Neurospora crassa OR74A: one gene and its partners. The protein of the gene in region 1 interacts with the protein of each later gene in a pairwise test. Links are inferred from orthologs where the notes say so. Each region holds a gene or a part of one and is shown in the gene's direction. Other genes may lie near its edges.

Evidence for each region.
Region 2: the proteins of NCU07724 (region 1) and NCU06966 interact in a two-hybrid assay, tested with the Schizosaccharomyces pombe proteins (2 studies listed by BioGRID). The link is inferred for Neurospora crassa OR74A from reciprocal best matches to the Schizosaccharomyces pombe genes mdv1 and ibp1.
Region 3: the proteins of NCU07724 (region 1) and NCU02473 interact in a two-hybrid assay, tested with the Schizosaccharomyces pombe proteins (2 studies listed by BioGRID). The link is inferred for Neurospora crassa OR74A from reciprocal best matches to the Schizosaccharomyces pombe genes mdv1 and nup44.

What each region holds. Positions count from the first base shown.
Region 1 is NC_026504.1:2,075,706-2,086,075, forward strand, and holds NCU07724 (mitochondrial division protein 1), read left to right. Parts: upstream 1-4,983; 5' UTR 4,984-5,351; coding exon 5,352-5,426; intron 5,427-5,566; coding exon 5,567-6,170; intron 6,171-6,222; coding exon 6,223-7,229; intron 7,230-7,298; coding exon 7,299-7,574; 3' UTR 7,575-7,886; downstream 7,887-10,370. Other genes in the region: NCU07727 (COPI-coated vesicle protein), read left to right, coding at 582-601, 762-833, 1,092-1,135, 1,204-1,287, 1,368-1,540; NCU07726 (bcp-1), read left to right, coding at 2,312-2,416, 2,528-3,304; NCU07725 (chorismate mutase), read right to left, coding at 3,449-4,187, 4,270-4,340; NCU07723 (norsolorinic acid reductase), read left to right, coding at 8,722-8,843, 8,925-8,995, 9,062-9,157, 9,251-9,396, 9,454-10,161.
Region 2 is NC_026504.1:4,687,248-4,696,316, reverse strand, and holds NCU06966 (hypothetical protein), read left to right. Parts: upstream 1-4,545; 5' UTR 4,546-4,811; coding exon 4,812-4,956; intron 4,957-5,158; coding exon 5,159-5,580; 3' UTR 5,581-5,817; downstream 5,818-9,069. Other genes in the region: NCU06968 (hypothetical protein), read right to left, coding at 1-44, 241-256, 362-431; NCU06967 (hypothetical protein), read right to left, coding at 1,869-2,843, 2,896-3,570. UniProt on the Schizosaccharomyces pombe protein: May play a role in DNA replication checkpoint via regulation of hsk1 or may act downstream of hsk1 in an S phase regulatory pathway.
Region 3 is NC_026501.1:2,425,285-2,435,335, forward strand, and holds NCU02473 (nucleoporin Nup44), read left to right. Parts: upstream 1-5,317; 5' UTR 5,318-5,668; coding exon 5,669-5,752; intron 5,753-5,844; coding exon 5,845-5,965; intron 5,966-6,107; coding exon 6,108-6,751; intron 6,752-6,813; coding exon 6,814-6,927; 3' UTR 6,928-7,461; downstream 7,462-10,051. Other genes in the region: NCU16357 (hypothetical protein), read left to right, coding at 901-1,164, 1,346-1,457, 1,596-1,639; nuo20.8 (NADH:ubiquinone oxidoreductase 20.8kD subunit), read right to left, coding at 3,981-4,151, 4,346-4,478, 4,633-4,860, 4,984-5,003; tom5 (outer mitochondrial membrane translocase 5), read right to left, coding at 7,760-7,797, 7,897-7,998, 8,142-8,154; NCU02475 (glycine dehydrogenase), read left to right, coding at 9,656-10,051. UniProt on the Schizosaccharomyces pombe protein: Functions as a component of the nuclear pore complex (NPC).

The sequences.
Region 1 (10,370 bases):
GGTTATGCGTCTATTCATCGATGCCGTCCAGTGGATTTGGTTTTGCATAGTAATAGCCGTCTCATGGCTGTAAACCCTAATTGCAACACCCTCGCTGCAATGGCGAAGTGTGATGCGGCAATGGAAGTTTCAAAGTTCCAGACGGAAAGCCCCTGCCCTGACATGCCGTAGGAGCCAGTGACAAGAGGCCGCGCACGCTTGCATCAGCGTCGTAGGGCGGAGCTCCCACGTTGCGCGCGTTTGGGGCCGGTTTAGTGGACAATGTACCCCGGCAGGGACCACCCGACCCTCCTGTTTGGTGCAGGTGAGGCTACCAGCTTCCTGACCTCGAGCTTCGATTGTTCCAGGCAACACTGTAGAATACACCATCCTCACAACATCTTTCGTTGCTCCGTCAAGAACCACCACCAAGTGGCCACATCTATCTCTACGCTCGCGCAAATTTCCGAGACTCATTTTGAATCGCTCTCTAGATTGCGTCGAACCCAGCAGATCGCACCTGTTCCTGCGACATTCTACCAACCTTTGCGACGTATTCGCACCTCCTCCACCACCACAGCCACTACTAAAACAACGCCATAATGGATCTCTCCGACTCTTTGTACGTTCACATCCGCCCGCTCGTGCGACTATGGAGAAAGAAAAGAAAGAAGGGGATGAGAGCGGAGAACAAGCAAGACCGCTGGCCCCCAATACTGCGTGCATCCAAGCATCCGTTCGAGGTTCAGAACTACTTGCTAACATGATGTCCTCCTCTCTAGTCGCTTTGTCAACCTCGCGGTTGCAGTGCTTATGATCCTGGGTGGTGTCTCCCAGTTCTTCCCTCTCGGAATGTACGTTTCCTCATTGTACGCCCGTTAGCAAGCCGACCGACTGTACAAAGTTATGCGCTTCCCTCCACGAGCGGATATTGTGGACGCAGCAATCTTGGGCGGTCGCCGAAATCGATCATGGTCCTGAAGCCTGGATGTCCCGGCTGCCAGTGCGCGCCCGCCTATGCTCACAAGGGTGTTACATGCTTTGTCCGGACTGTTGCGCAGGCTGATAGAAATCGTATGGAGATGTAAAACTGACCAAGTTACTGTCGACAGTCAACCAATTATCCTCGGGTGCTACACGATCCTGTTTGGTGTTGGTAGGTGGTCGCATACGTCGACAGAAACATTCAAATGGTTTCCGAAACGCTGACGCTGTTCTTCACAGCCACCGGTCTCCTGGAGTTCCAGATCCCTCACCAAGTCTACCGCTATGCGTCGTTCATGTTCTCGTTTCTTGGTCGTGGTGTTTGTACGTTATTGTTGCCCCACCCCCCCTCTGCTGCTATTGCTGAGTTATTGTGACTAATCGTCGGTCTACTCTTTGTACAGTTTACATCTTCGTCGGCTGCATCATTCCCCATGGACACTGGGCTACAATCATTATCGGCTCGATCATCTTCCTTGTCGGAGTCGCCTATGTCGCTCTCGAATTTGTGCCCTCTATTGAGCCCCCTCCAAACATGCGCGAGGTGGATGCGGGCTGGGGCGCTGAGCAGGTGTAGTTTGTGATACACGTCACTATTTGGGAAGTAATGCCCTGCCGAGAATTGGTTATGTAAGCATGAAAAGGGCTCTGTGGCCGCCGACAATGTCATGTCGACCCATACCAAGATGAGACGTTTGGGGTGTGAGAGTAGCGGGAGGATGGTCTGTTTGACAGCTACTCAGGAGCGCTGCTGGTGATCAACTGGTGTCAGAATGTTGAGGAATATGTTGCGCCAGCTGAATGCAGCACAAGTCAAGGGGTACGTAGTTACTTTCAGTAGATAACATCAAGGATGTGTAAGAAGATCAACGATTTAGCTTATACTTTAGTTTGAGGGCAGCAATGGTGCAGCCAAGTCAACATTTTGGATAGGACTGGCCTGCAGTCTTCTGGCATCCATAGACAAGCACTGTCCGTAAAGATGAAGTATCTTCCATTTATCGTTCGCGGTGGCAGTTTTCCACAATGGCAGATCATTAACTGGGTGAACGTGGTTGGAAATCCCCCCCTTTTTGGAGTTTGGGCAATTGTGGTTGTCCTAGCAACCATTTTGTTGTATCTAAAGCTGGAAGGGTTAGGGTATATGCAGGTAGGCGATAAGGTTCTTATCAATTTCAATCTTAAACAACTGCATTACAAAATTTTGAGCTTGACGGCCTGAATGACCTCAAAGTCAACCACATATCACCAAGTAAGGAGCCCTGTGAACACAATCATGTGTGGAATATGCGACTGACAAGTCGAATAAGGACCATTTTTATTGAGTCGTTCAAGTACCACATTCAAGATGGGCAAGAAAAGATCGAGAGAGGAAGCCCAGAAGGAGGTCGTCCAGAACGACCCCACAGTCGATAAGATGGATGAGGATAGTGACAGCTCAGACTCGGATGAGGTGAGTTACTTTCCCTTGGTGCACCAGGCTCGGTTGTTAAACCGACCACTTGCATCTTGGTCGAACCTCTCTTGGCCGGGAGTCGTAATACTAACATTGGTTGGAAACAAGGACATGGATATCATCAACGTCGACTTCGAGCTGTTCAATTACGACAAGGACATCGACTTCCACGGCGTCAAAACGCTTCTTCGTCAGCTCTTCGACGCTGACGCCCAGCTCTTCGACCTGTCCGGGCTCAGCGACATGATCATCGAGCAGAACACCATCGGCTCGACGTGTAAGGTGGACGACAAGGCCAACGACGCCTACGCCTTCCTGACCGTGCTCAACGCGTGGGAGCACCGCGAGAAGAAACCGGTCGCGCAGCTGATTGAGTACCTGTCCGACAAGGCCGTCAAGGCCGGTGATTCCAGCCTGTCTGTGCTGCCTGAGTTGTTCACCTCCGGCAAGGCCCAAGTGGGCATCGTCCTGTCGGAGCGCCTCATCAACATGCCGGCCGAAGTCATCCCGCCCATGTGGAACATGATGATCGAGGAGATCCAGGACGCCGTGGACGACAAAGAGCCATACGAGTTTACGCACTACCTGGTGGTGTCGCGCGCGTACGTCGAGGTCGAGTCGAGCTTGGACCAGGAGGAGCAGAAGCGCAAGCGGCTACGCGATGAGAAGGGCCTGCAGTACTTCCACCCTGAGGACGAAGAGATGCGCAAGCATGCTGTCGGTGCGGGCACCTACACTTTTACCAAGGAGGGAGACTCAGCCGACAGCAAGCGTGCGTTCCAAGAGCTGGGCGTCAAGTCACAGGGTTTCATGATGCTTATTGAGGCGGGCAGGTTCAAGCAGGCTGTCAAAGCTATCGGGGATTGCATTGGCGCGGCCAACTAATTTACCATAATGGATTGCGAGAATTATGAAGCACCGAGAAATGGGGGAACGTGAACGGGAAATTTCAACGCATCGTCAGTTCCTGCCTGCAGTGCTGTGGATTTTGTTGTTGTTTTAATTAGGTGCCGGTTACTTGCATCATGGCTATTGGGCGGGCGCCGGCTCCAGTCTCTGCATGAGATACTCAACCTCCACCACCTTGGTAAGAGGAATCACGAACTCCTCGTACATAGCGACGACGGCCTCGACGTTAATCTTGCGCTGGCTCTCCGCCTCGGAGGCGCCTATTGACGGGTCGGTACCGTAGGTTTCCGCCTTAAGCTTCAATCTCTCCAGCACCTTCTTCTCAACAGCCTGGTTGGTGATAGCCTCTCCAATGGCTTCGCGATCACCGGCCTGGATGTACTTTGTGAACTTTTCCGTCTCAGACTGGAACTTGGATTCGGCGACAAATTTGCCAAAGTGAATGCGCCGGGAGATGGCCTGCAGGCAGGCGATATCGCAGGTAGCAGAGGAACCGTAGTTCTCCTTGTTGACACCACGATCCTCACGGCCAAAGTCGGGGCACACGCTGGGAAGGAACTTTTGCGTATAGAACTCTTTGATCTGATCGTTCACATTGACGTTGTTGGGGTGGAGGATCTGGGGGTAGTCGATCGACTCGAGGATGGGCTTCTGCACGGCGTCGGGGAAGAAAGGGTATTCGTCGGGTGACTCGTAGCGACGCATGAGGGACTGGAGACGCTCCTGCTGCCACAAGTACCAGTCCATCAAGCTGAGGTCGGTGTCGGGGAGCGGGACGGCGCCAGGGATGTAAATGTTCTTATTGAGGGGGAATTGAACACGCTCGATCAAATGGAATATGATGGTGTCCTCTAGACGGCTGTTCGACACACGTATCAGTTGGCATAGGTTCCAGGATTGTCGAGGTGATCGTTCAGTGCTTGAGCTCTCTCTTGACTCACATTAGCTGGTAGCGAATGCGCGAAAGATCAAGCGCCTTGTCGACGTCAGACAGTTCGATGATAGCGTCCATCTTGAAAGCCGAGGTGTCGCGGTAGGTGCAATAACGGCTTGGAATAGAGATTTGGGTTATATGTGCAAGTAAGATATCAATTGACAAAGAAGACAAGAGGCAGTTGTTGTGTACAGTGAGCGTTGAGTCCCTCCTGAGGACCCTCAACCGGCAGAGTTGGGACCAAACAATCGCAACTTCGATATCGGACAACAATCAGATTCCCACGTTGCAACGGCCCTGTTAAAATTTAGGTTGTTCATTTGTACATTGGTACATATGACGCACCAATACTGCGGATCCGGTACCCCACTGGCCCTCCAGCGGCTTTCTTGGCAGACACCGGATCCCTGCTCTCGTTACACCCCCTTCTGAACGGAGGCCGAGCCTGAATTGGCGCGTCGCTTGCGTGCGGGGAACCAGGGCCAGGGGGGTGAGGGGAAGAAATGGGAATTGAGGGGGCGCGCTATCGGCTGGCCGGGAAATCCACCTCCCCGCCAACATGCTGCGACCAGCCTGCTGCCAGCCGCAGAGACCGACCACCGAGGGCCCAGTGTGTTTAGAGGGTACCTTTCAAACTATGTGTCCCAGAGACGTGTGGTGGTAGCTGTTAACAGACTAGCTAAAGTGATTCCTGCCACGGTGCTTCACCAGGTTCACACATCAAATTTGTGCCGCATCCACGCGCGCGAACTTGGAGCGAGGTACCTTACCTGATCAACCTCTACAACATCGGGCCATCCGCAGCTGCTGCAATTGATTCAGCCTGCCGTGGTTACATGTTGCTGCCGCGGACTCTGACATTGACAACATCGCTTCGGCATCGCTACCACTAGCCGCAGCTGCGCTCGATTCCCGGCCGTGCGATTTGGCAGCGATAGTAGCGCCCGCAGGATTTTTCTCGCGTCGTCGTCCAAGTGTCCTGCTTCTATTCGACCTCTTTGCGCTTTAGTAGTTCGTCGGGCGGCAACAACCTCTTGGGCATTTCTTTGAACCTTTTTCGATTGGGTAGCAGCCTCCCGGTGCCAACGGATGGCCAACTCCGATCAGAACCGTGATGTGTTCCCGGACGATGTGTCGATTGATGACGATACCTCCGTAATCTCTGTGAGCTCTCCTCACCTTCGTCTCCCGCACTCTGTTCACCACCATGATGACACCCTTCTGCCTCTCCTGAGTCCTTTCCGCATTGCGCTTGGCGCAGCCCAAGAACCACAAACTAATGCAAGATGGGTGAACTGCAACAGACTCGGGGTCTCGAGGCCTTCGGTCGCAAAGTGACGACAACAGCAAGTCACTTGATCGGCCCCATCACCGACCCGACCTCTCATCCTCACTACCAGACCGCCATGACCGAGATACACAAGCAGCTCCAGAAGCCCACGCTTCAACGGGGCGTCTTCGCTATAGCGCGTACGACGCCCACCGATTTAGTGCGCTCCAAGCTGTCGTCAAAGGAAATTCAATCTCGAGCACTGGCCTACGTGCCCGATGAGCTTCTCAGAAACATCCCTGCCAGCTCCAACTCATACTCGTTATTCCAGGGCTTTCAGGCCAGTTTTCCCGACTTTACCGATGATGGAAAGAAGCACAAGCGACGGGTGTCTCGGGGGAGGAAGATGCTCGATGAGAGCCCTGTGCAACCAGGAAGCCCGCACGCGGTACAGAGGTTAAAAAAAGATAAGGCGTCAATGATGCACCAACTTGAAATGCTTGGTGTTCGGAAAAATATGGCTAGCAGCGAGATCCGTGAGATTGATAACAAAATCGCCAATCTGCACGGCATGCGCAAGATCATCCTCGACAGGCTCGCTAATCTTGAAAAAGAGGAGGCAGTATTAGAGCATGACAGTAAGTGTTTATGCGCTTAATCTTGGGACCTCCTACTAACCGCAACTGGCAGTCATGGATGTTGAGAGCAGGCTAGACGAAGCTCAAGAACTTGCTGATGAGGCGGAATCGTTGGCGATGGCGACACCGAACAAGTCTGAGGAGGATCTATCAAGAACTGAAGAAGGATTCATGTCGCAATCCATCTACGAGAAATTACCAGCAGCCAACACTCCTCCTGGAAAAAAGAAGCCTCGCAACCATCGCAAGAAGACACTCCCGATTCTCCACGAACATTTCGAGCCAGGCACGATGATTCGCTCGATGCGCGCGCACCAGGATAACATCACGGCTCTCGACTTCGATGCTCCCTTTGGTCTCATGGTTTCGGCTGCAATGGATGACTCGGTTCGTGTGTGGGACTTGAACGCCGGGCGCTGCATCGGTACTCTTGAAGGTCACACGGCATCTGTACGCACTCTTCAAATTGAAGATAACTTCTTGGCTACTGGCTCTATGGATGCGACAATCAAGCTGTGGGACCTGAGCAAGGCCCACTACGACCCTCAGGGTAGCCAGGAGGTTGATGAGGAGGACGAGGACCTTGCGTTTGTCAACCCGAACGATCACGCAGTCGATCCGCCTGCCGGAAGCATGGCTGATTGCCCTCTTTTCACTCTCGAGGCCCATCTCGACGAGATTACGGCCTTGCATTTCAGGGGAGATGTGCTCGTTTCTGGCTCCGCCGATAAGACGCTTCGTCAGTGGGATCTTACAAAGGGTCGTTGCGTGCAGACATTGGACGTGATGTGGGCCGCCGCCCAAGCCACCGCAATGGGCAGCAGTGACGGTCCCTGGAGACAGACCAGCCGCTCTGCCGACGGATCCGCAGACTTCGTTGGTGCCCTGCAGGTCTTCGAGTCTGCTCTGGCTTGCGGTACTGCTGACGGTATGGTTAGACTCTGGGATCTTAGAAGTGGACAGGTGCACCGTAGCCTGGTTGGACATACCGGCCCGGTTACTTGCCTCCAGTTTGATGATGTTCATCTCGTCACTGGCAGCTTGGACAGAAGCATTCGTGTAAGCAACTTCCTCATTCTGCCATAACACTACGAAACCGAGTGGCACTGACACTGCTCCTTATCACAGATTTGGGATCTTCGCACTGGATCAATCTTCGACGCTTACGCATATGATCACCCTATCACCAGCATGATGTTTGACACCCGCCGGATTGTTTGTGCTGCTGGTGAGGATGTGGTTAAGGTGTACGATAAGGTTGAGGGACGGCATTGGGACTGTGGCGCCGGCATCACTGAGGCTGAGAAGGCCAAGTCCCCTGCAATCGTCGAACGCGTGCGCATCAGGGACGGCTACATGGTCGAAGGCCGTCAAGACGGTGTCGTCGGCGTCTGGACATGCTAAAGGCGACATGGTCCGCCGGGGGGGGGGGGTTGCATTGCTTGTACAAATACGACATCATACGACACGACTTACACTGGATTGGAGAAAAAGGGGCGGCCACGTATATTGGTGTTCATGAGTTTATGAAGAGGACTCGTCTAGCGACAAAATGAAGTCATTGTTAGGGTTGGCTGGATACCTTGGGTCTGTACGAGTGTAGGTTCGCAATGGAACTATACAGCAGTTACATGTATCTCTCATCTGTGCAAAACTGAGCCCCTGGCGACAGTTGAGTGATGTATCGCCAACAGAGCCAACCTAAAGCATTGACCCCATTGAAAGAATAGGTGAACGCGCCTGGACGCAAGTGGGGATCATCTCGAATGCGGAAGTCATGAAATCATCGGAGCAGTGTCCGAAGAGGGGTAAAGGTGCTTCTGGTCTACCCTGGCCTCGCCCTTGCTTCCGGTCGTTGAACTCCCTCCACGGAGACAAGCTTATCTCCAGCCGGACTTATAAATCAATGATCTCTGTAGAAAGTGATGGCACAAGATCGAGATTGCGAAAGTTATCCTCTGGTCGTTCGGGGAGTTTGCAAACCCGTCCGCTCCCCACGATCGTCCATGGTCCACCTTAGATTGAACCCCACTTGCCGTACACGGACTCTGAGATCTGGGATCGAAACCATCACCTCCGTCTGCTCGGGTGCCCGAATATCCCCAGTTTTCTTGCGTGCCTGGCATCCCACTGTGGAAGAGCGTAAACTAGAGACCCCCGCTTCAGCTTGCCATTGCCCCCAAGCCGATCCCACCTGTACACTTTGAGGTTGCTCTAGGGGTACTCGTCAGGCCCGCCTCCGTGATCTCTGCCTTATCTCCGCTTGTTAACTTATACAGAAGGAAAGAGGGAACGACCCTCCTGTGTGCCTCCCGTTGTTTAGCAAAGTGATATCCTTGTTTCTTTTTGCGAATCATGGATCTGGGCTGTACGTAGTCTCCAGCCGATCTAACCTCGGCCGTCGTACTGGCATATAATTTAAGCTTCCTTCCGTTCCCTGTCCCTTCTCTTATGAACTTCCCGTGTGTATTGATCATCTCTCGTCATTCATCCTAGTCTTCCTTTTCATCCCATCCCACCTTTCGATATAATCTCCTAACTTTGACTCAAAATGGCCCTCCCTATGGCGCCTCCCCCCAAGGGGCCCCTCGGCCGCTATCGTTTGCTGTCCCCTACTGCATCCGTCCGTGTCAGTCCGCTTTGTCTGGGGTCGATGAACTTTGGCGATTCGTGGTAGGTTGTACACATCGGACTTGTGCTGCTAACCGTTCGTGATATTGTTTGATTACTGACCTGCGGAACCTTACTTCATAGGCAAGATTATATGGGAGAGTGCAATCAAGAGACTACGGAGAGCATTTTGGACTTTTACTATGAGAACGGAGGTATGATGGGAAACTCCTATGGATTATTCCGCTAAAGCTGACTCGGTGATGTTGGGTGATGTGTAGGTAACTTCATTGATACTGCCAACAACTACCAGAAGGAGGAATCTGAGAAATGGATTGGGGAGTGGATGAAGAAACGGGGAATCCGAGATCAACTTGGTAAGCTACTACTTTGCGAACCTCTTTGAAGCCTTTTAAGCACACGTCAGACCCCTAGATTCCGCGTGAAGCAGACATTAATCGTCATCCCAGTCATCGCAACCAAATATACCACCAACTTCAGAGCTGGCCATGGTGAAACAGAGATCATGGCCAATTTCGGAGGCAACGGCACCAAGAGTATGCGTGTCTCAGTTGAGGCCAGTTTGAAGAAGCTCCAGACGGATTATATCGATCTCGTACGTTCTCTGCCCTCACACATCACACATAAACATGCTAATATGACCATTGTACAGCTCTACGTTCACTGGTGGGACTTTGCCACCTCCATCCCCGAGCTGATGCAGTCCCTGAACCAGCTCGTCACCAGCGGCAAGGTTCTCTACTTGGGTGTTAGCGACACCCCGGCTTGGGTAGTCAGCAAGGCCAACCAATACGCGCGCGATCACGCACTTCGGCAGTTCTGCATTTACCAAGGCCGGTGGTCCGCCGCCTCGCGCGACTTTGAGCGGGACATCATTCCCATGTGCCGGGACGAAGGCATGGGGCTCGCGCCCTGGGGGGCCCTCGGGGGCGGCAGCTTCAAATCGGAGGAGCAGCGCCAGCAGCAAGCCAACGAAGGCCGCAAGATCAAGGCGACCGAGGAGCAGATCAAAATCAGCCGGGCTCTGGAGAAGATTGCGCAGCGTAAGAACACAGCCATCACCTCCGTCGCCCTGGCGTACGTGATGCACAAGGCTCCGTACGTGTTCCCGATTGTTGGCGGCCGGTCGGTCGAGCACCTGAAGGGTAACATTGAGGCGCTCACGCTGGCGTTGTCGGACAAGGATATCGACGAGATTGAGAGCGCGGTTCCGTTCGATATTGGGTTTCCTAGCTCATTCTTGTATGGAGAGAAGGTTCCTGCGCACCCCAGTCAGGTTTGGTTGATGGGTATGGCGGGCACATATGATTATGTCCCGGTGCCGAAGCCTATCGTGCCAGCGGCGGAAAATGGTCAGTAGAGCCGACATCGCCGCCAGAGGTCTTTGAAGGTTAGGTGGGAGCAGAAGCTAAAGTATTAGTACGTTTCAATGTGATTCAAGTTGGGCTTTATTCGATTGTGACGTGTGTCAAACTGCTTTTGCGGAGGGTGTCATAATCAACATATGGGTTGCAAAAAAACTGATAAGCGTAAAGTCTTAAAAACCTGCTTGGCACGTCTTAGTACAAA
Region 2 (9,069 bases), about 2.6 Mb from region 1:
ACGAGAAGGCGTAGCGGGTGACGCAAAGGAGAAGGGTGGCATGTCTATTATGATCAAGATCGTGTCAGTATACGTTCAAAGCAATCAAAATATATCCTGGCGCGAGAGTCGGCTGTTCCGCAACTCCGCTCCTGTGAGATACCGCCTTGCTGCCCCTCGTGAAATCTGCTTCATCCTGATCGAAAGCGGGCGGCACGGGAGGGAAGCGGGACAGCAAGCCAATCGAGAATCATGACGTACCCAGCGAACCAAGCGACTAGGAAACCAAGACAGTTAGCCATTTGCGCTCATGATAAATCTTCGAATCGCTACAACAGCGATGGAGGCTCAAACGGAGAGAGAGGGTTGGATGCACACGTACACTGCAGGGTCTGTGCCAGCTTTTGAATCCTCTGCGCAAGAGGCAGGTCGGCGGGCGGCGGGGGAGCCATTGTGATAGAAATGCTGTACTGGAAGCGGGTTGCTTAAAGTTTGATGTAGTCGGTGTCCGGCGCGGTAATCTTTATATCGCTCGGTCCGGGTGGTGAAGTTGTTTGGAGAGCTGAAGCTGAAATAACTTGGAGAGCAGCCGGCGGGAGAGAGCGTGGCTGAGGTGGTGAGCGGTGCGTATGGTGGAGATCTCTGGGAAAAAATAGGGCGGTCGTGTGCTTGTGCTCCAGCTCCCGCTTCTTCAATGTCCACGTCGACCCAGGTCGGGGAATTTCTGCCGCAGGTTCGATAGTGTGGCCGGTGCGCCTTGCTAGCTGTTGCCCCTGCAGGATCTAGTATTGCACTAACGTAGCCTGAATATTTTTTGGTGGCACGTTAACCAGAACTCGTCGAGATAGGCGTTCAAGATGATAGCGCAAACAGGAACTTCCAGGTTCTGTAGGGCTGGCTGCGACTGCGGTTTGTAGGACTCCTGTTTACCACTAGCTTCAGAAAGGGAAGTTGAGATGGCGTATCACTGTTGAAGAGCGGTACGATGGCGGAACACCTGAAAAAGACGACGGATAATGAAGACTGAAATGGACAAAGATGAGCAAAACAAAACCCGGAAAGGTCTTTCCACGATTGCTACGCGATTTTATTGTGAAATTTCTACCCAGAGGCTCTTCTACACTAACAATATGGCGTCGGTCTCGGCGGAAGAGCTGGGCTGTGTTCGTTTGTCGTCATCGCGCTTTCACAAGAACCCGCCAGAATCTGGTCGGGATCCGGGCTGGTCCGATTTCACATGCAAGACGTCAACCCCCGATGCCCAAATCTGGGCTGGCCTCTCGTCTTGGAGGTTGTTGCGACGGTCATAGGTTGAGATGAACTATACAGATGCTGTATGTCCTTCATATCAATGAGGATCATATCGGGAGTCTTCGTACTCCTGCTGTCGTGTCAACATATTCTTTGGGATGATAAATTCCGTTCAGTTGGTTGCATCTCGCGATGGGACCGCTGGTAGCTCCCCTCCCCCCAAACTTCAGTGCTGTTGCCGCCTGCGTCATTCTTGGTGAGCCGAACTTGGTTTTAATGAAGGAAGGAAGCTTGGGCCAACTGCCCACACTCACATCCAGCCACGTCATTGCGGTGGCTCAAACCTGCTTGTTGTGGTCTTATTCAACCCTAACCCTTCTCAATCACCTGCTTTCTTTTCAAATGACAGCGACAATACTATGATCGTATATATCGACATTCAAGATATGACAGTAGGAGCTGTGGAAGTTGAGCTCAAGCGGTCTTGATGAGACCTTTTACTGAGAAACTTGCACATGAACTTGTATATCTTACCTCCAGTCTCCTCGAAGGTTACCCAATAGGACCAACTAGGAGCTCCCAACCGCCAACATCACCATTTCAAATCAAGGCAGCGACGATATCATGTATCCGTATACTTAGATGAGTCCGTTCTTCGGCAACGGCCAATTCGGGTCCCTACTCTCGACTATTCTTCCCGGCTGCAGCTGCTGCTGCTTCTGTAGCCATTGTTGTTGGTCCCCCATGCTCTGACCCTGCAATCTCACACTCCCCGTACTCGCCGCTCTCCGCCTCGAAGTCGTCGTCGATGGTCCACGCGCATGCTTGCCGCGTGCAGAAGCAGATGCGTTACTGGCCATTCTCTCATCAGTGCTGTTATTCCTCGCACTTGTCGCCGATGCAGTCCTCGAATGGCCGAGTGGATGTCCACCACCACTCGTACCGCTCATCACCGACGTGTTGGTAGGCACGGTTTCCAGGGGCCGAGCCATTATGTCTCCGTAGACGCTTTTGCTGCACTCAGGAGCGTACCGTATTGAGATATTCCTCCTGATGTCTTGTGTTGTTGGGGGAGTGGGTAGGGGAATGGTTGGCGGCGGGCCAGGCGATGGGAGGAGGATGTCGCTGGAGGTACTATATTTTCTGCCAACCGCCTGTCCAATCTTTCCCTGGGAGTTGTCGGTTGATGGCTCGAACTGGGGTATCCAGGCTGTTGGTGACGGGAGATAGGCTTGCGAGGGCCGTCGGACGGGAGGTGGTTGTGGCCCCTGGGTTGGAGAAGGTGTGTGTGCTTCTTGGATGGTCTCCAAGTGGATAGGTCCTGGTGACCTCGTCGGACTAAATGGGCCCCCATTCTTGGTCGGGCTGGCCTGGTCGTTGACGATATAGCTGACAATGGCACGATCAAGCGCGTCGCTTACGTTCTGGTCTTCTTCTTTTTGTTGTTGCTTCCTCTTCCGGTATCTCACGAAGAGGTAGAAGCCGGCGAGAGAAAGCACAGAGGAGCCAATAATGGCGATGACAACTGCTATAGCAGCACGGTTGACCGACGACGCGGCTCCCTGCACAGCTTTGATGTCGGGGTTGTTGAGAGCCTGCGGATTGTTTGGAGTCTGGCAAAGGTTAACGCGATGGCAACAAGTTTCAATATCACGGAGCACTCACCATTGTCGAATTTGGATCTGCCGTGATGGTCGGCCCTATGAGGTCTGTTGTAACCGAGACAACGGTTGCTGTGACCGTGACCGTCCCTTGGCCCAGCTTTTCACTCATGCTGCTAACGGTGCTCGCGGCCGAACGTTCTGCAGCTATCACAGCATTGGATGCCGATTCCTCGGTCGACGCTATTGCGATTGAGGCCGAAGCTTGAACAGATGCTAAGGCGCTGGAGGCTGACGAGGCGAGATGATCGATCGACTCCTGAAGCCCGATGATGGATGTTGCCAGGAGGCTTGAGAAGTATATCGCGTTCGAGTTGGCTTCTTCGAGGGCACCGCTGAGCGAGCTTATTGTTGCTAGTAGGGAATTATTACACGGGCAGGATCCTACAGCCGTAGGTGCCGTTGTCGGGAAGGGTGAATGGGTTGCCTCTGCTGCCACTGCGACACTGATCGCCGAGGTCACGGTCGTGAAGACGGGCTGTGAGCCAAGATCTTCATGGCCGCTGACCGGACGCCTTGCAACAATGGGTGGATGATGGTGTGGCCATGACGAGAAAGGATTCTGCCCAGTCTCGAAAGACTCTGCACTTGCCACGTAGTCAAGGGTGGTCAATGCTGCCGAGTAGCAGACAATAATTCCTATAATTAGGCCGTATATGAGATGACCCCGATTTCTCATGGTTCATCTTGACTGACTGAGGGAAAAGGACAGAGAACTCATTGTTCTGTTGTTCTGCAGTTGGAACAGAGCAACTAGAGATGAACACTGGGAGGAAGTGCGGTGGGATGGCCATACGGGGCAAGAACCGAACGCCAGAAGATAATCCCGAGTCAGACAATGGTGACTTGCACACCAAAAGAACGGGACGGGATGTCATAGTCCTGTAGGCGCAAACGTTGAGGGTCAAGCAGCTAGAAGAGCACGGATCCCGATGACTGAGGGCCATCCGGGTTTCTGATTCGGCAAGAGGTTTTGATCTAGAAACAAGGTGGAAACGACTAGACCAGGTCAGCCTTGAAGATGCGATACAAGGATCTCTTGACCACTGTCACTCGGCAGCTGAGGGGCCCGTTGCGGACTTGCCTCCCCTCCTCAAGGATACACAGAAGTGAGTTCTGAATCCCCCAGTTAAAGCTGACTGGGTACCTATATTCCAGGTTCTTCACGAACAAGATCGCATCATCAGCTTACACGGAAGTAGGAGTAGGAAACGAAAAGATCCTCCATGGGCGCCACCTTAACCTGATCTCTTGAAGGATGAACCTGTATCAGTAAACCAAAATGACTCGAGAATTGTATGGCATGACTTGACTCGAAACAGCCGACTTCGATGATGGTGGCAATATCCCATACGATCTTCAACGCTTAAGCCTACGTTTTTCAGGATGATGGACCGCAGATTGAGGACTGTCGCTGTTCCGGTGGGAATACAGCATCTAATCCAAACCCAACAAGTGCAGGTATACCTCACAGGTCGGTTGAGGTGCAAATAAGGTTGAGTGTTCCAAGATTGCCGCCAAGGATTCTCCATTGCGAAAGCGCCCGTGACATCTGTCTGGAACTTTCCTAGCAGCTGCGGGCAGCTGCCCTGCCTGCCAAAAGCGCAAGAGGGTCCAGACCGTTCCATACGGTACAGCTCACTGTAGAATGTCCGCGGTCTGGAACGTCGCCCGCTGAAGAAATGGGACCTGACAGTGGAAGGATTGACACTTGTCACCACTGCAGCTTGATAGGCACTGATAGCGGCGGCTCAAGAAACCATTCGAAGAGACGGAACTTGGAAGAAGAAAGATACCTATCGACATATCAAGAGGAACTATTCTTCATTCTTTGCCCCCCGCGTCCTCTTTGCTCCTCCAATCCCCCCCAAGTGCTCCCCTCCCTCCTAGATCAACGTCCCAAAAGACCGCCGCCAGAAAATGACCACTATCGGATCCCTCCAGCGGCTGTCCGCCACGTCCCTGTCCAAGCTGATCCTGGCCGAACAGGCCTCGACGGCAGCAGCGGCGGCCGGCACGGAGAACAGCCGCTCCACTTTGGCCATCATTGACGTGCGGGATGACGGTGCGTACTTAGCTAGTTCCCGCTCCTGGTCTTTGTCCTCCGCAAGGAACCTCCTTCACCTTCCTTGTCTCCGCAGCATCATCATCTACACCTGTCCTACTCCATACCAGATACACAACTTACTCGCACAATCCAAAAAGAAAAAAGAGACACAGAGTCAATCATTATGCGTCATCCCCCGGTATTAACAACCCCTTCACAGACTACATAGGCGGCCACATCAAGGGTTCCCAAAACGTTCCCTCGCACAAGCTCGACGCCATGCTTCCTACCCTCGTCCGCCAGCTCCAAGACAAGGAGACGGTCGTCTTCCACTGCGCGCTCTCGCAGCAGCGCGGACCCAGCGCTGCTTTGCGCTACATTCGCGAGCGGGATCGTCTGATGCCGAAGGAGGTGGAGACTAAGCTTGCTGCTTCAGTCGAAGAGGCTGTTGGGGCTGATGGTGAGGGAGAGGTGAAGAAGAAGCAGGGGGAGGAGGAGGGGGAGGAGAAAAAGAAGCCCGTCGACCAAAAGGTGTTTGTGCTGGATCGTGGGTTTGTGGGGTGGCAGGAGGCTTTTGGGTTGGATGAGAGGTTGACGGAGGGGTATAGCAAGGAGTTGTGGAGGGATGGGTACTGGATGTGAGCGTGATCCATGAGATGGCTGGCTCGCCCTTTAAGAATTGAGCGAGCAAGCTTGGGAGTTGGGAGTACGAGAGGACGGGATAGAAGGTTCACTGGTTAGCGAAGCGGGAGTTGATTGGGTTCATAGACTTGTTGTTAACATGAGTGAACTTTACTGAACATTCCTCTACCTGATGAAAAAAAATCACAGATGGGGTCTTTGCTGACAGGCAACAATGGATTTTTGACTCTGCGCGGACAACAACACTAGTAAGTAGCACATAGACTGTGATACATGTGTAAGGAAAGACCTTTGTCATTGACCCCAACGTTTATTTTGGCTAAATTTCCAAATGTGACTCTTCTGAAATAGTCAATATAACCCCCTCACTAATCCCAATATGCCCACTACATCTTTCCAAGAAACTCCACAGCCCCTCTCCAGCCCTCTAACCAGTCAGTCTAGCTCAGTACATAGGTACCCCAACTCAACAAAGCCTTTATCCCAGTATGTTGTGGGGAACCAAACGAACGGTTCATGTTTATGTTACCCCCGAAGCAGCGAAGCAACACTCCAAAAATGCACGAGACTTTTGTGTTACCAGTAGGTATCCATGAGTGCAACGAAAAAGGTACCACGCATTAGGGCCAGCCATCCATTTTGGGGAAAGGAACAGTGAAAAAAGATTCAGCTGAAGTCTTGGGTAGCATTATAGATGCAGTAGGTACGTTGCGGTAGTAGTTGGTAGTCCAAGATTTGTTGTCCCGCTTTTCTTTTTTTTTTTTCTTTTTTGCGGGCTTTATGGGTTCAAACTAATACACAAATGTATGATGTGGGATGTGGGACGTCGCGTAGGTGACTTTGTACGAGTAGTAAATGCCAGACAATCATGCAACGGAGGGAGGGATCTTTGGTTGACGCTACTCGCTGTGCATGTATCAATTAGGTCTCTTGGCCCTTGGCGAACGACCATACTAGGATGCAAAGTCCATAAGGTTGAACTTGGTATCTAACTATTGATGGACGAATGCCGAATCGGGTATATATATATAGACTTCTTCGAAGGAAGTTCTGGAAGGTTATGGTTTCTTGGTAGCTTAACCAGACCAGCCTCCACTCACGGATATGCGAGCTACCATAACAGTGAGCTCAAGAGCATCAATGAAACGCCACAGCCTCGGCCACATCACTTGCTTTTCTCGTTATCGAATTCCTTTATGGCGAGCTTCAGTCTGAAATCACGTAGATAGTGACTTTGACAATAGTTAGTGTCAAGGCAAAAAGAACAGCTGTAGAAAGAAAGTGCTTGCGCCACGTACTTTTGATGATCCTAACTCCAATGTAACTTTGACAACTTTGAAATGCTCAGTAACGTGTCCACGATTAATGGAAGCATGAAAGCCTTGGCACGAAGAGTCTTCGGGACCCTTCACACATAATATATGCATGAAGGACACATCCTTTCTCAATACGATCAAACCAATGTTCACAGTAGGATGAAGAAACTTCGAATACACCACGAAACCGGTCACTGGAATGACGAAAGACATCAACGGTTGGTTGGAAAGTGGCAGATAGGCCACCATTGGACAATAATGCGAGAGTGGTAATGGAAATTTGGAAATGTGACAATCCAAGATAGTTACCGAGTTTGCACTATCATACAAGTACGCAAAGGCAAGAGGGAACTATGTATTTTTTTTTTTTTTTTTTCAGTAGCAGGAGTAGCAAATAGAGAGTGAAAAGGTGATGTTGAAAGGGAGTATGCTGAAAAGGATGCTTGAGTCCTGTCTTTGTTGCTTGCTGCATGATAACCTGAAGATGGGAAAAGCGAAGATGTAACTCTCAAAGCATCGGTGTTGCCGAAGGGTACTGTGGATAGTTTAACTTTTCAGTCATTGGTCATGCACTTCAGTTGCGTGCTAGATCGGGTGCTTGCTGAAAGGCATTCAAATGTACTCAGGCGTCATCACTAGACGGTAGGCTTCCTAGGTTGTTCACGTACTAGTCTACTCCATCCACATGGATACGAGTGACGGCAGCTAATGAGACGGATGCCATCTTGCGTGGATAGCGCCGGCACACATGCCGATTGTTCTGGAGTACATGCCTTGCTCTATACTGTTCAGATCTGGTCGGAATGCCCTCAGTCAAGATCTTGGCAGGGAGCTGTGCAATCTCTCTAGTCTCAGTTTCCTGGTTCATCCAAAAAAAGGGCCGAGGCTGTCATCAACTCGTTGATGTGGAAGATATCTGTGCATAAATGCATCTTGGCTGGCTGCCAGCAAGCCACTCATTGGACAGCCGAAGCGAAAACGGTCGTGCCAGCGAACCGTCACCTCGGAACGCGAGAAAAGAGCGACTCTCAGCTCAGGATTTTCCCCCGTGGGTTAACATTGGGATGTAGGTACCTGCACTGACAGGGTAAGCTTATATACCATAATGGTACATGTAGTGCTACCCTTGCCGTATCGTGGCCAGTCTTGATACTGACAAAGGTACCTTGGTCTCAGTGAACTGGTCCCAACCGTCTCAATAGATGCCGCAAAGACTTGGCGGGCTGATGGAACAACAAAAGGGCCAGTTAAGAGAAATCATGAAGTGTGCCTGACTCGCTTGGAAGCAAGCGAAGCGCTGGGTGGAGCAAAGCTCAAGATACTAAAGCTCTTTTGGTTTAGAACTGAGGATGGAAAAGGACTCGTGAGTGCGTACCATCGAGATCGAGACGCCAGCTCCGGCAGGGCCCGGTTCGACCAGGACGAATTGGTAGAGCAAGGCTATGTCAAAGACGACAGAAAAATGAAATGGATTCCTTCGTTTCCTTCCTTAGTGTGCGGGGTATTCGGGATAATGGTGGAGTGTTTTGGTTGAAAAAGAAAAAAAAGAGAAGAAAAACACAAACGTCAAGGTGTCATTTGCGCAGGATGCTGGCAAGATGACGAGCCATGATGATTTTAAGAAGGGAAACATGGTCAAGAACTATGCATGGCCAGTGACCCATCATTCCCAGCCATGTATTGCGACGACAAAACATGGGGAACGTCTGGCATGGAGAGGATTGATGGCCAAAGGAGAATACCATGGACGAATATCAGCCACGGTGCAAGGGAAATGGGAGCGTAGGAACATGATCCATCCACACCATGACAAATGTGAGATCAAGGGTCCATGGCTCAAAGATCTCTTTCGGGTATCGAGTCCGCGGTGGTTTCCAAAGAGAGTTAGCGAGGGGAAGGTAGGAGATATTTGGTGTGGTTGGTGAAGGCCGGAGTGTGAAGGATCCTAGCAATGATGGCCGGCGGCGAGATCGATCGCAGATCAGGGCAACGGCGACAGGGGAGATAATTTGGCTGTCCGAGATAGAAACTGAAAGGGAAGCCACTTGGAGTAGAGGTAGGTAGGTAAGTAATTGAAGAGGAAAAGTTGAGATTGGGTGGGTACTAACTTGAAGCTGTCAGACGGGGGGAAGGCGCGGAAGGGTTGGATGTAGAAAGTGTAGAGGTACCTGGG
Region 3 (10,051 bases), on another chromosome or scaffold:
AGACATGTACATGCCCTTGGCTGGGTGCTTGGGTACCCATGCGCAATCTGTATGAGTTTCTCCGAATTCTTCGAGGAAAAAAAAAAGGTGGAAATTGACTCCAGCTCATGCAAGAACGGAGATGAGGCATTCAAGTGCGAATGTCAAAAGTTCAACTCGTATTAGGCTTGACGCCATCACATGATCTTTCATGACTAAAGGCGGGCAGACAGATGCTCGCAAACTCACGAAAACACCCCGCAATGGTTTCAGATGAGCCCTTAAGACGAGATCCGAATCCAATAGACTGTGTGGGTTTTTTTATTGGAGAGCACAGTCTACGAAAATAAATCACGAAAACAGACCGAGATCGAGAACTACAGCTACTGTTCCGGCTTCTGGGTTGAATTGTGGTGCCAGCCTACGTGTTCTGTTCCCCGGTCCCTCAACAAGGACTTTCTGAGAACAGGCACTCAATGGGTCTTTGCGAGGGCATGTCTCCTAAACTTGGTCTTTAGACCTCCGTTTCGAGCAAGGGTTGTGTCAAATTGCGTGAGAGTCCACAGCCAACTGGAAAGGACTTTCAGCGGCATTCTGCATGAACTATCACTACTCAGGAGTCACGATGCTCCCTATTTGGCTATCACCATGAATTGCACGACTGCTGTGCCTTGGTATTTATCCGGTGATACAGACAGGGAATTCAAACTCGCCCTCTATCAAGAAACATACGTTTATATATGCGAAGCGGCGCTCTGTCTCCTCCCGAAACACACTGTCTCTATACTCCTTAAACACAATGGAAATCTGCGACTATTAACCTCCAATGAACCTTTCTGAGAACATACAAGAAAGCCACTATGACGATGCTGAAGCCGCCACTTACGCTTTATGTTTCTTGAGTAGAATGAAGTCAATAGAATGTTTGCAATCGCTGATTCCCTTGGCGGAGGGGAACCGCATTCTCGCCATGGTAGGCGCAACTCCCAAGTGCTGATACTGTTCAGTGTTAAGCGTCCGTCTACTGCAAGGTTGGCAGTTCAATATAGTTTGACAGGACCTGCATATCAACACCTCTCCGACGCCCTCATATGGAATTGTTCGAAGGCTATCCACTTTGAAAATGGCATCCACCCGCCCTGCAAGAGTTTTGTTCGGGTGATAACCGAGACATTTGAGTTGCAAGTATGCAACAAGATCCTTTTGCATGAGCGCCCTTCCAATATCATTTACTCTGAGAATCTAATAGTGTGCCCCTCCAATGTTGCCATGGTATACGCGACAGACATATCTTGTACTTGCCTTTCATTGCCGAAGTCCCAATTTCTGTCTGTCCACCCTTTATCTGCTTACATTTCACACACAGGCAGGCTATTCCCAAACGGCTGCAAACAGCAAGACTTGCGCGATGGTACCTGTACGATCCCTTCCGGGGTTTGTAACATCCTTCCCGGTGATAATTACCTTTCTTAGCTCACGTAAGTCTTTTGTCTCCATGTAGAAATTGAAAAGGGGTAGAAAAGGGGGCGTGGAAGGGGTTCCTTGTATTCCACCGCGGAACTCTTTTCTCCCCAAGCTTACAAGGCGCACAAACCTGAATGACTGACGAGTGACAGGCAACAGGAAAGCAGACTACACCAACGCCCTTCAAGAAGACTAGGACATCGCTCATTTGCTGGATCTTGATACACAACATTAGATAGAAGCCCCAGAAACGGCATCAATTAAGTCAAATCTACGTAGTCACCGACGATGAAAGGACTATACTTAGGAAAGTGATGAGGACTGCAACGTCAAAGAAAACCACTACCATGACGTAGTCGTGGTGGGTTTTCAATAAACTTCAATAACTATTGTATTGGGACTGAGGGTTAATATCGCTATGGGGTCATGTCGTGGTGTCACCGAGTGCCAGTGTCCTACCCTCCTCCCCGAGACCACAAGGACTACCTAGAGAGTAAGACACTTGAACTGACGCTGACACGGACATTGGTGCTGGTACCTCAGCTCCGGGTTGGTTCGAATCAACATAAACGGAGGTTTGCCTGGTTCTGGTTGCAACAGTTTCTCAGTCTCTCGCAGCGAGACCGGACCAAGTACTTGCTGGAGAAGAAAGCCATTGCAGAGGAGCTAGGAGATATGTGTGAGGCTGAATCAGGAGGCTCTGGTGCTTGTATCCTCAAGAAGACCTGAAAATATTCTCACTTTCTTCATTTGCATACCTGCGTTTGTCTGTTGCAATACCACCGCATTCTACTCTCTCCACATCCATGATAATATAGCAATGGAGACAAGTATACAGGACGAGAGTCCTACCCCTTTCATCAACTAAAAAGCCACCTACTCATTAATACCCAACTTTCTGTGTTCTTTTTGGTCTTTCCAGCGTTCCCCTTCGCATAAACCTGTCCTCCTCACCATTTCTATTCTACCACATAACCCCCACCACATCTCCGATTTCTCACCACTATGATCACTGACAGGCTTGGATGATGACGAATGGGACGCATCACAAGCCCCCAAACCCCAAAGCCAAATGCCGAGAAGCTGAGGATCCAGAGAGATAAAATCCAACGCCTTATCTCCGGATACAGCCGCGTATTGAAACATGCAAGCACTCACTGCTCAGTCGCAGATGGATATGTCTTACAACCACTTACATAAATGTATCGCTCATGTCGCAGCTGCAACACAGTTTCAGAGGCTCCTTTCCCCATGTTTTTTTTCCCTGTTAATTTTTGTTTTCATTATTCTCTTTTTGTAATTCGTCTGTTTTTTTACAGATCACGTGGTACCCAATGCGAATGTCTATCTCTGCCCCATCATAGTCATCAATCTGAGCCACGGCACTGTCATGCCTTATCCTACCTTACCATCGGCGCTCGGTCGCTGTCTTCCTGTGCGGCCCAAACAATTTGTGATTTCATTACCCCCCCCCCCCCCCCCCCCCCCCCCAAGATGTTATTACTGAGAGGGTGTTTTCTCACTTGTCGGATAAGAGTGAGCAAGGTTGATGTCATGATATTGCCTTTTTCCTCAGTCAGACTCAAACCTAGGTGAGACCGAGAGGATTGAAACTTGGAAACCCAGAGGTGTAGGCTTTTGGCACCACCATACAACGAACGACTCATCAAGTAGAATAATCGAGGAAGAGAAGGTTTGAGGGCTCACTCGAGCATTCGAGGGATGTGTTGGGTGAACCCTAGAGGTAGGTAGTGATGGCGGTAAGTAACCCGTCCCAGGCGTTGTGTCAGACGAAGAAGGCAGCAACAAAAGTCAAAGTCGGGCAAGCCCGGTTAAAGATGGCACAGGCACAGGAACAGGCACATGCACGATAAGGTGAGACCGTCGCGCTGCCTGAGGGAATCTGGAAAAGACCGAAGTATGTGAGCAAGGGCTTACCGTGTCTTGTGGAATAGTTGCGCGGTTGTTCTCGTACTGCTAGTACTTGCAGAACGATCCCCTTCTCTTGTGGAATCGAAGTCTGTCAAAACGTAGTGTAGAGGTCATGTGTACGACCAAGCTGTCAGTTCGTTGTCAATCCTGTCGTTTGTGTCAGCCTGGGGGAGAGTGACCTGGCCGTGGTTCTAACATTGGAAGCGCGAGACGTATAATGTGGATCCTAAGTTAATACCAAATCATACTACCGGATGACATATATACCGTGAGTGTTGTCTTTATGGCCGATGACGAAGGTGGATAAACGTATGTACAGTGTGCTGCCGTTCAACTCGAAGCGCCCCCCGCCCTGACACATTACATGCCAGCCTACACAGACAACGCCCAGTTCTATCCTCAACCGCTTGGTTTGCATTGTCTATTCATCTTTACCATATGGTCCTAGAGGGTACGTAGAAGTTATAATCATTACCATACCGTCTTTCTGGGAATTATCTTCGCCCTTGGCATATTCTCCTTGCAGTTCTGTTCTTCCTGCTAGTCCTGTTGTTCTGCCAGGCTTCCCTTCCCCTTCTTCCCCTTCACTCCTGCTCGAATTGCCCTTACGACGATGACGAAGCGGCAGCTGGCGCCTTGTTGTTGTCACCAGTCTGTGTTGGGGGAACGAAAGGCTCGGCGGAACGGGGGATGGGCCAATGCGCATAGATCATCTGCTTCCTGAGGTGGACGGGTGTGACGTTGGGGGGCTGATCGGGGATTTCCTTCTTGAGACCCTTTGTGGTGGGAAGAGACTTGGTAAGTTATCGCACAGCAGTAATGGGACGAACATGTGGTGAGTCATGATGATATCGAGAAAGTAACAGGTAGAGCTTATGGAAAGGGCGCACGCCAACATGGCTCTGCTCGAGTCATGCACTAATCCCATGTGGATTGTGCTGGTGACGAATGGATACTGGCCATCACTTACCAAGTTCTCAAAAACACACTTGTTCAGCTTCCATTCGGCAGGTCGGCATTGCCAGAGCTGCTGGTTGTTGTCCTCAAGGCATGTCCAGTGCTTGCGGAACTCTTCCAGACATGACTTGTTGATGTCGGCGATACTGCGATGGAGGTTTGACCCCCCGTATCCATGTTAGCCAAAGTGTCTCCACAGTGTTCCCCATACTGATTATCCACGACATGACTCTCTTCTTTCTCTCCCGCCCTCTGTCTTATATTCCAGTACCAAATCTGCAAACAGGTAGATTCACTTACACGCTCCGGGCGCATCGGGTAACCCTTCGGCCCTCCTTCAAACACTCAAACTCGCCCTTTCCAGGGTTCTCGTTCTTACACTGCATGAAATCATCGTTGTAATCGCGGCACCGGGCTCCGATGAAGTAGGCGGCGGACATAAGCGGGGCAGAACTGGCACCGAGTTCCTTGACCTTGGGGATCGAGTCCGGCAAGGGGGTGGTGTCGTAAAGGACCTGCTGGTTGAACCTGTGATTTGTGATGATGGTCAGCCCCTCTTTATCGGCAGACTATATGTAGTGATGATGGTGTCGCTGTCGCAAGTCGCCAATTGCTCTCCTGCAGCTGGGCGCAAGCCGGGGGGTCACATACTGGGGAATCCGAGAAGCCATCCTGTCGGTTCAGGCGAGCTTGTCGTTGATCGCAAAGGCAACAAATCGAGGCTTCGAGGGCAGGTTTTGGACGGGTAGCTTGATGATGGTGTCGTACCTCTTGCCGGCTATCCTCGAATGGCCTGGCTGTGAGTGGATCGCGGCTGCCTGCTCATGATTGGCTGGTGAAGGCCAAGGTCAGGTTCTTGGCGTTGCTGCCCCCTGCCTCACCTTCCAGTGACCTCCACCTCGGTCTACTCTCGGTGAGCCGCAGCAAACCCAACGCGCTAGTGAAGTGACCAGAGGAGCTTTGACCTCCTCAACGCCTGCGCAGTGAGAGCCATTCAGAAGTGGGCGCCGTCTCTGTCTACGTACAACCCCGTAAATTTCTACAGGAATTGCCCAGCAACGACGGCTTTGCGAACCGCGACAATCGTGTCTCCCGACTCAGTATCCGATATCACGACGATTTCGATTATTACAATCAACGCGGGCCTATTGCTCGTCAATACGATTTGACTTGGAGCGCGTTTTGTCGATCAATTTATCCAACCTCTGCCGCGAATCCCCACTGTTGCTTTTGTTTTCTTTCGCGGGCTTCAGTTGTTTCCATCAGCACGCGCCATCTTGCTCTCTTGCGCTCTTCAGACTACCATTTCCGCCAGTATACGACACTACCGGCAACCATGAGTTTATTCGGTACAGCCCAGCAGACAGGCCAATCACTTTTCGGTGCTCCTCAGACAGGCACTTCGTTGTTTGGGCAAACGGTAAACCATCCCTCTGCTATTTTCCGTCGGGTTTTGTTTGGAACAGTGACAATTTGAATGGGGCTGAACGCTGACGTGTCGGCCTAATACAGCAGCAACAGCAGCAGCCGCAACAACAACAACAGTCAACTGCCTCCATCCTCGGCCAGTCGCAGGCAAGCCAGAACCCGCAGTTGGGCAGCTCTCTATGGCAGCCCGGAAGCCAGACGACCTGTACGTTGCGCCTGTAGCTATCTGCTACACCATTCCTTGATGTCCTACCGTTGTCGAATTCTTCACCTGTCATCTTGCCCAAACCACGAGCACAAGATGGATAACAACCTTACAATGTTTGCTAACCTCCGACTGCGTGCAGACCAAAAGCCGATCCCGGAGCAGATTCAAGTCATCACTCAGAAATGGGACCCAACCAACCCCAACTGCGCTTTTAAGACGTACCTCTACAACAAGGTCGATGAGCACGCCGCTCCCCTCTACCAGCCTGGACCGAACGACGACCCCAAGGAATGGGAAGAGGCTCTCGCGAAGAAGCCAGGGCCGAACTACATCCCCGTGCTGTGCGCCGGCTTCCCCGCTATCGTTGCGCGCCTGCTTCTCCAGCGGCGCGTGATCACTGAGTTCAATAACAAGCTGCATGCCATCAACGCCAGTCTGGACGAGATCCTGTCACGCCACGACCTCGAGCACTCGGTGCGCGCGCTCAAGGCGAAGAGGAGGCACGCGGAGCTGAGCAAGCGGTGCCTGGCGCTGGCGTCGCGGGTGCAGGTGCTGCGTAATAGGGGGTACGCGCTGAGCAGCGACGAGGATGAGCTCAAGCAGAAGCTGGCCAAGATCGACAAGCACATCCAGGACCCGGCGCTGAGCGCGCGCATGGAGGAGCTCTGGAGTAGGCTGATTATCTTGAGAGGATATGCGGATAATCTGAGAGATGAGATCAACAAGCCGGGTTTTGCAGAGAGCGACGGACTTGATGAGGAGGTTGAGGCGAAAGCGAAGAAGGTATGTTTCTTTCCCTTGGCGGGTTCTCACATTGTCGACCTGATGCTAACTTGGAAATGCAGATTCTCGAGGACTACGAGAAGCAACTGCAGCACCTCAAACAGCAGGTCGAGGAAGCCAGGAAGGAATATGAAGACTGGGAGAAGGAGCATCAGCCCACTCCGGCGCCCATGTAAAGGCGTGAGTGTTCGTGGCTGGACAATGGTGTGAGGCGTAAAACTGATCAGAGAGTCTGCTGGGGCTGCTTGGGAGCTTACCGAGAAAAGCAAGATCACGGATACGGGATTTTAATGTGGAAAAGCTGGGCTGGAGCGGAACAGGAACGACTGTAGAAAGCATGTATTGGCGTTCAGTGGTTTATGTGGGAATTGGCGGCTGGCACTGGAGGAAATACATCATGCTCGCAGGGAGTTTTCTTGGCCATAGCACCGAACCTCCTATATTCAAACTGTGCTGTTTGCTTGGGTATCGTGCAAGCGGTTGTCATAGACAGTTTGAAGCTAACTATGCCCAGTGTTTGATATACACTTGGCGTGATGGGTTGGGGTCTCAAGTGGATGGTCTCTGTGCGTACCGTACAAGGTCGTCGAATTATCATTTTGAAGTGCACAGCTAAAGGTGTCGGACAAACACGTACAAGCTCTTCGACGGCTGTCAAAAGAATGTGGCACGCTCTCAAGCCTAGATTATCGGCAAAACACACTACCTCCATTCGGCGAGAGTACGGTTTACCGCCATCAACGGAGGTCCGCACAGCGTCCCTAGAAGTATCCCAGTCCAAAAGAGAAATTGCTTCATTCCGAGAGTTTTGACACATATCGTACAACCAGAGGAAAAATGTCCGCGCCAGATGGGTATCATTATTCCTTATCGTTTTCTTATCGGCGTGGGAACATCGGAGCTCAGGCACCGCAGGCGGGCCGTTTAATGCAACGTATTTGTTTCCATAAGGCTGTCGTCGCTCATTGATACAACTCGTGGGATTGATTGGTGTCTAAGTACGAATATTTAGAGAACCTTGCTAACGGCGTCGATAACGAAGGGAGCTGTATATAGGTTTTTCCTCTTGTTAGCGCTCAGAACCAGACTGACGTAGGGCAGCGAGAGAAGCTGGGGAGGACAGGCCGGTAGATAGATGGACGAACAGAGGTAAAGAGCAACGGCAGTAAAGACGGCACGTTGAATGGTGAAGGTGGCCTCGGCCTCGGCGGCCTGGAGCTCCTCGCGGGAGAGGGCAGGGGGCTGGACTGTGAAGTAGTAAATAAATGTCAGTACTACCAGTGGAATGGAGACGACGTCGTGGTGGTTGATGTATTTGTTTGTGTGATTGCCTTTCAATGACTGCAAAAGACTGTCAAAGCCCAGTTGAATCAATCAAGACGGCACTTACATCCTCCGAACATTTTGATATGGAAGTCGCGTTGATGTTACTTTTGGTAGACTGGTCGCGATATGGGCTGCTGGCGGGACGACGGGATGCAATGGGGCAATGGAAGATGTGAATGTATAGGTCGTCTTGAAATTTTGGATCCCCTGCATGTTTGGGGTGCCGGCCGGGCCAGTGCAGTGACGCCATGCCTCAGAACGGCTTTCCGCGCTGCAGTGTCCAGCCGCTAGGGATGTCGGTTCTTTCCCAATCGCCCCTCATTTCGCTCGCTTAGGCAGGCAGGTACGTGCCCAGGTTCGTTGTCTTATCAGCTGTTATCAAAAGTCAACGCGCTTATCGGGAACGGCAAGGGCAGTCGATGCAGTGCCCAGCGCTTGTACACTAGAAAGCTCTGAAGGTCCCGCGCAGCCTCAACATGTAACCCCTGGCGTCGGTCGGCCCGAGAATACCCGACTATCTTCGCTGCTAGGTAGTGGCAATCCTCACCCGGCATGTACCCTGTACCTCTTACCCCGTACCCCACAAGAAAGACAAGATCTGGCCCGGGGATTTTCTTAGCTAGTGACTGGAGCGACAGAACCTCCTTGGCCGAGTACTTTCAACCTAAATCAGACGACAGGAATGACGAACGGGATTGGGCGATGCTGGCAAGTTCAACGTCCCATTTTAGCCAGATGCGTTATCAATTCGACCACTCACCGTACTCTTTCGTCTCTGTTTTTTTCCCCCATGTGCCAGCCACTGCAGCGTGTGTCGTTGATATTGGCCTTGACGGCCCCCTTCAGAAGTAGAAGGTACTTTGGGATGAAGTCCCTGTCTCCAACCGTATTCCAATGTGTCACCCAAACTCGATCGGCCGAAAGTTCCTCAATCACGTTAGTCACTATCACGGGTGTCGGTCCTGACTGGTCCAAATCTTTTTTTTTTTTCTAATCTGCGCTTTGCGGCTTTGTTAGTGGTAATAAACCGGCCATTGGGGTCTATGGGGCCAACAGTCTCGACTCACCTCGTCATACTACTAGTGTTGTTGCTAGTAGTCATTGGATCTGCCTCTACGGGACGGGGATGCGCCCGGCTTTTTTTCTTTTGGGGTTGGGGCTTGATCTCTTCAGGTGGACAGTGGTGTGACTGTTCCGTTCTGTTGTTTTGTTTGTTGACCGGCTATGGTTCGATAGACGAGAGAGCGAGTGTGTGTGTGTGTCAGTTGCGGTTGGAGAGATATCGGGAAACCCTATCGATACTCGGGAGACGGTCCGTCCAGATTTGCCCCGCCTCCCTGGACTCCTCCGTTATACTTTTCTCCTTCTCCTTCTCCTTCGCCCTTTCGTCTCGTCTCTTCTTTTTCCTTCATTGTCGTACTTAAGTTCGTCCCATCTTTCCTCCTGTCCCGTATACGGCGGTACCTACCTTCCTCCAACCTACCAATCCACCAATTCCGCCGGGCAGTCCGGGCCTGCCTCATCCTCCCCGCCGATTCGATTCCCGTTTTCGTCGGTCAGTCCCGTTAGCTCACCATCATGACTGCTCCGGGACGTGTTGGCCGGCTGGGTCACATTGTCGGGCCCTCGACGATGGCTTTCCGAGGTGCCATGCCCGCTCGCCTACCACTGAGGGCGTCCACTACTATCTCGTGCCCACAACCGCTGGTGGCTGCCTCCTGCCTGCGATTGGCGTCAAGTGAATCTTCGCAAAGAGGAAAATTGATGAAGATCATCCCCAGTACTGCTTGGGTCCAGTATCCCGAGCTGTTTCCTGTCCGTGAGGACTTTGCGAGTCGCCATATCGGTCCCGACAACTCCAGCATTCAGGAAATGCTTGGGGTTTTGGATCCGCCGGTTGAGTCATTGGACCAGTTCGTCCAGGAGGTCATTCCCGCAGATATTTTGTCGAAGCGCGAGCTTTTCCCGCAAACC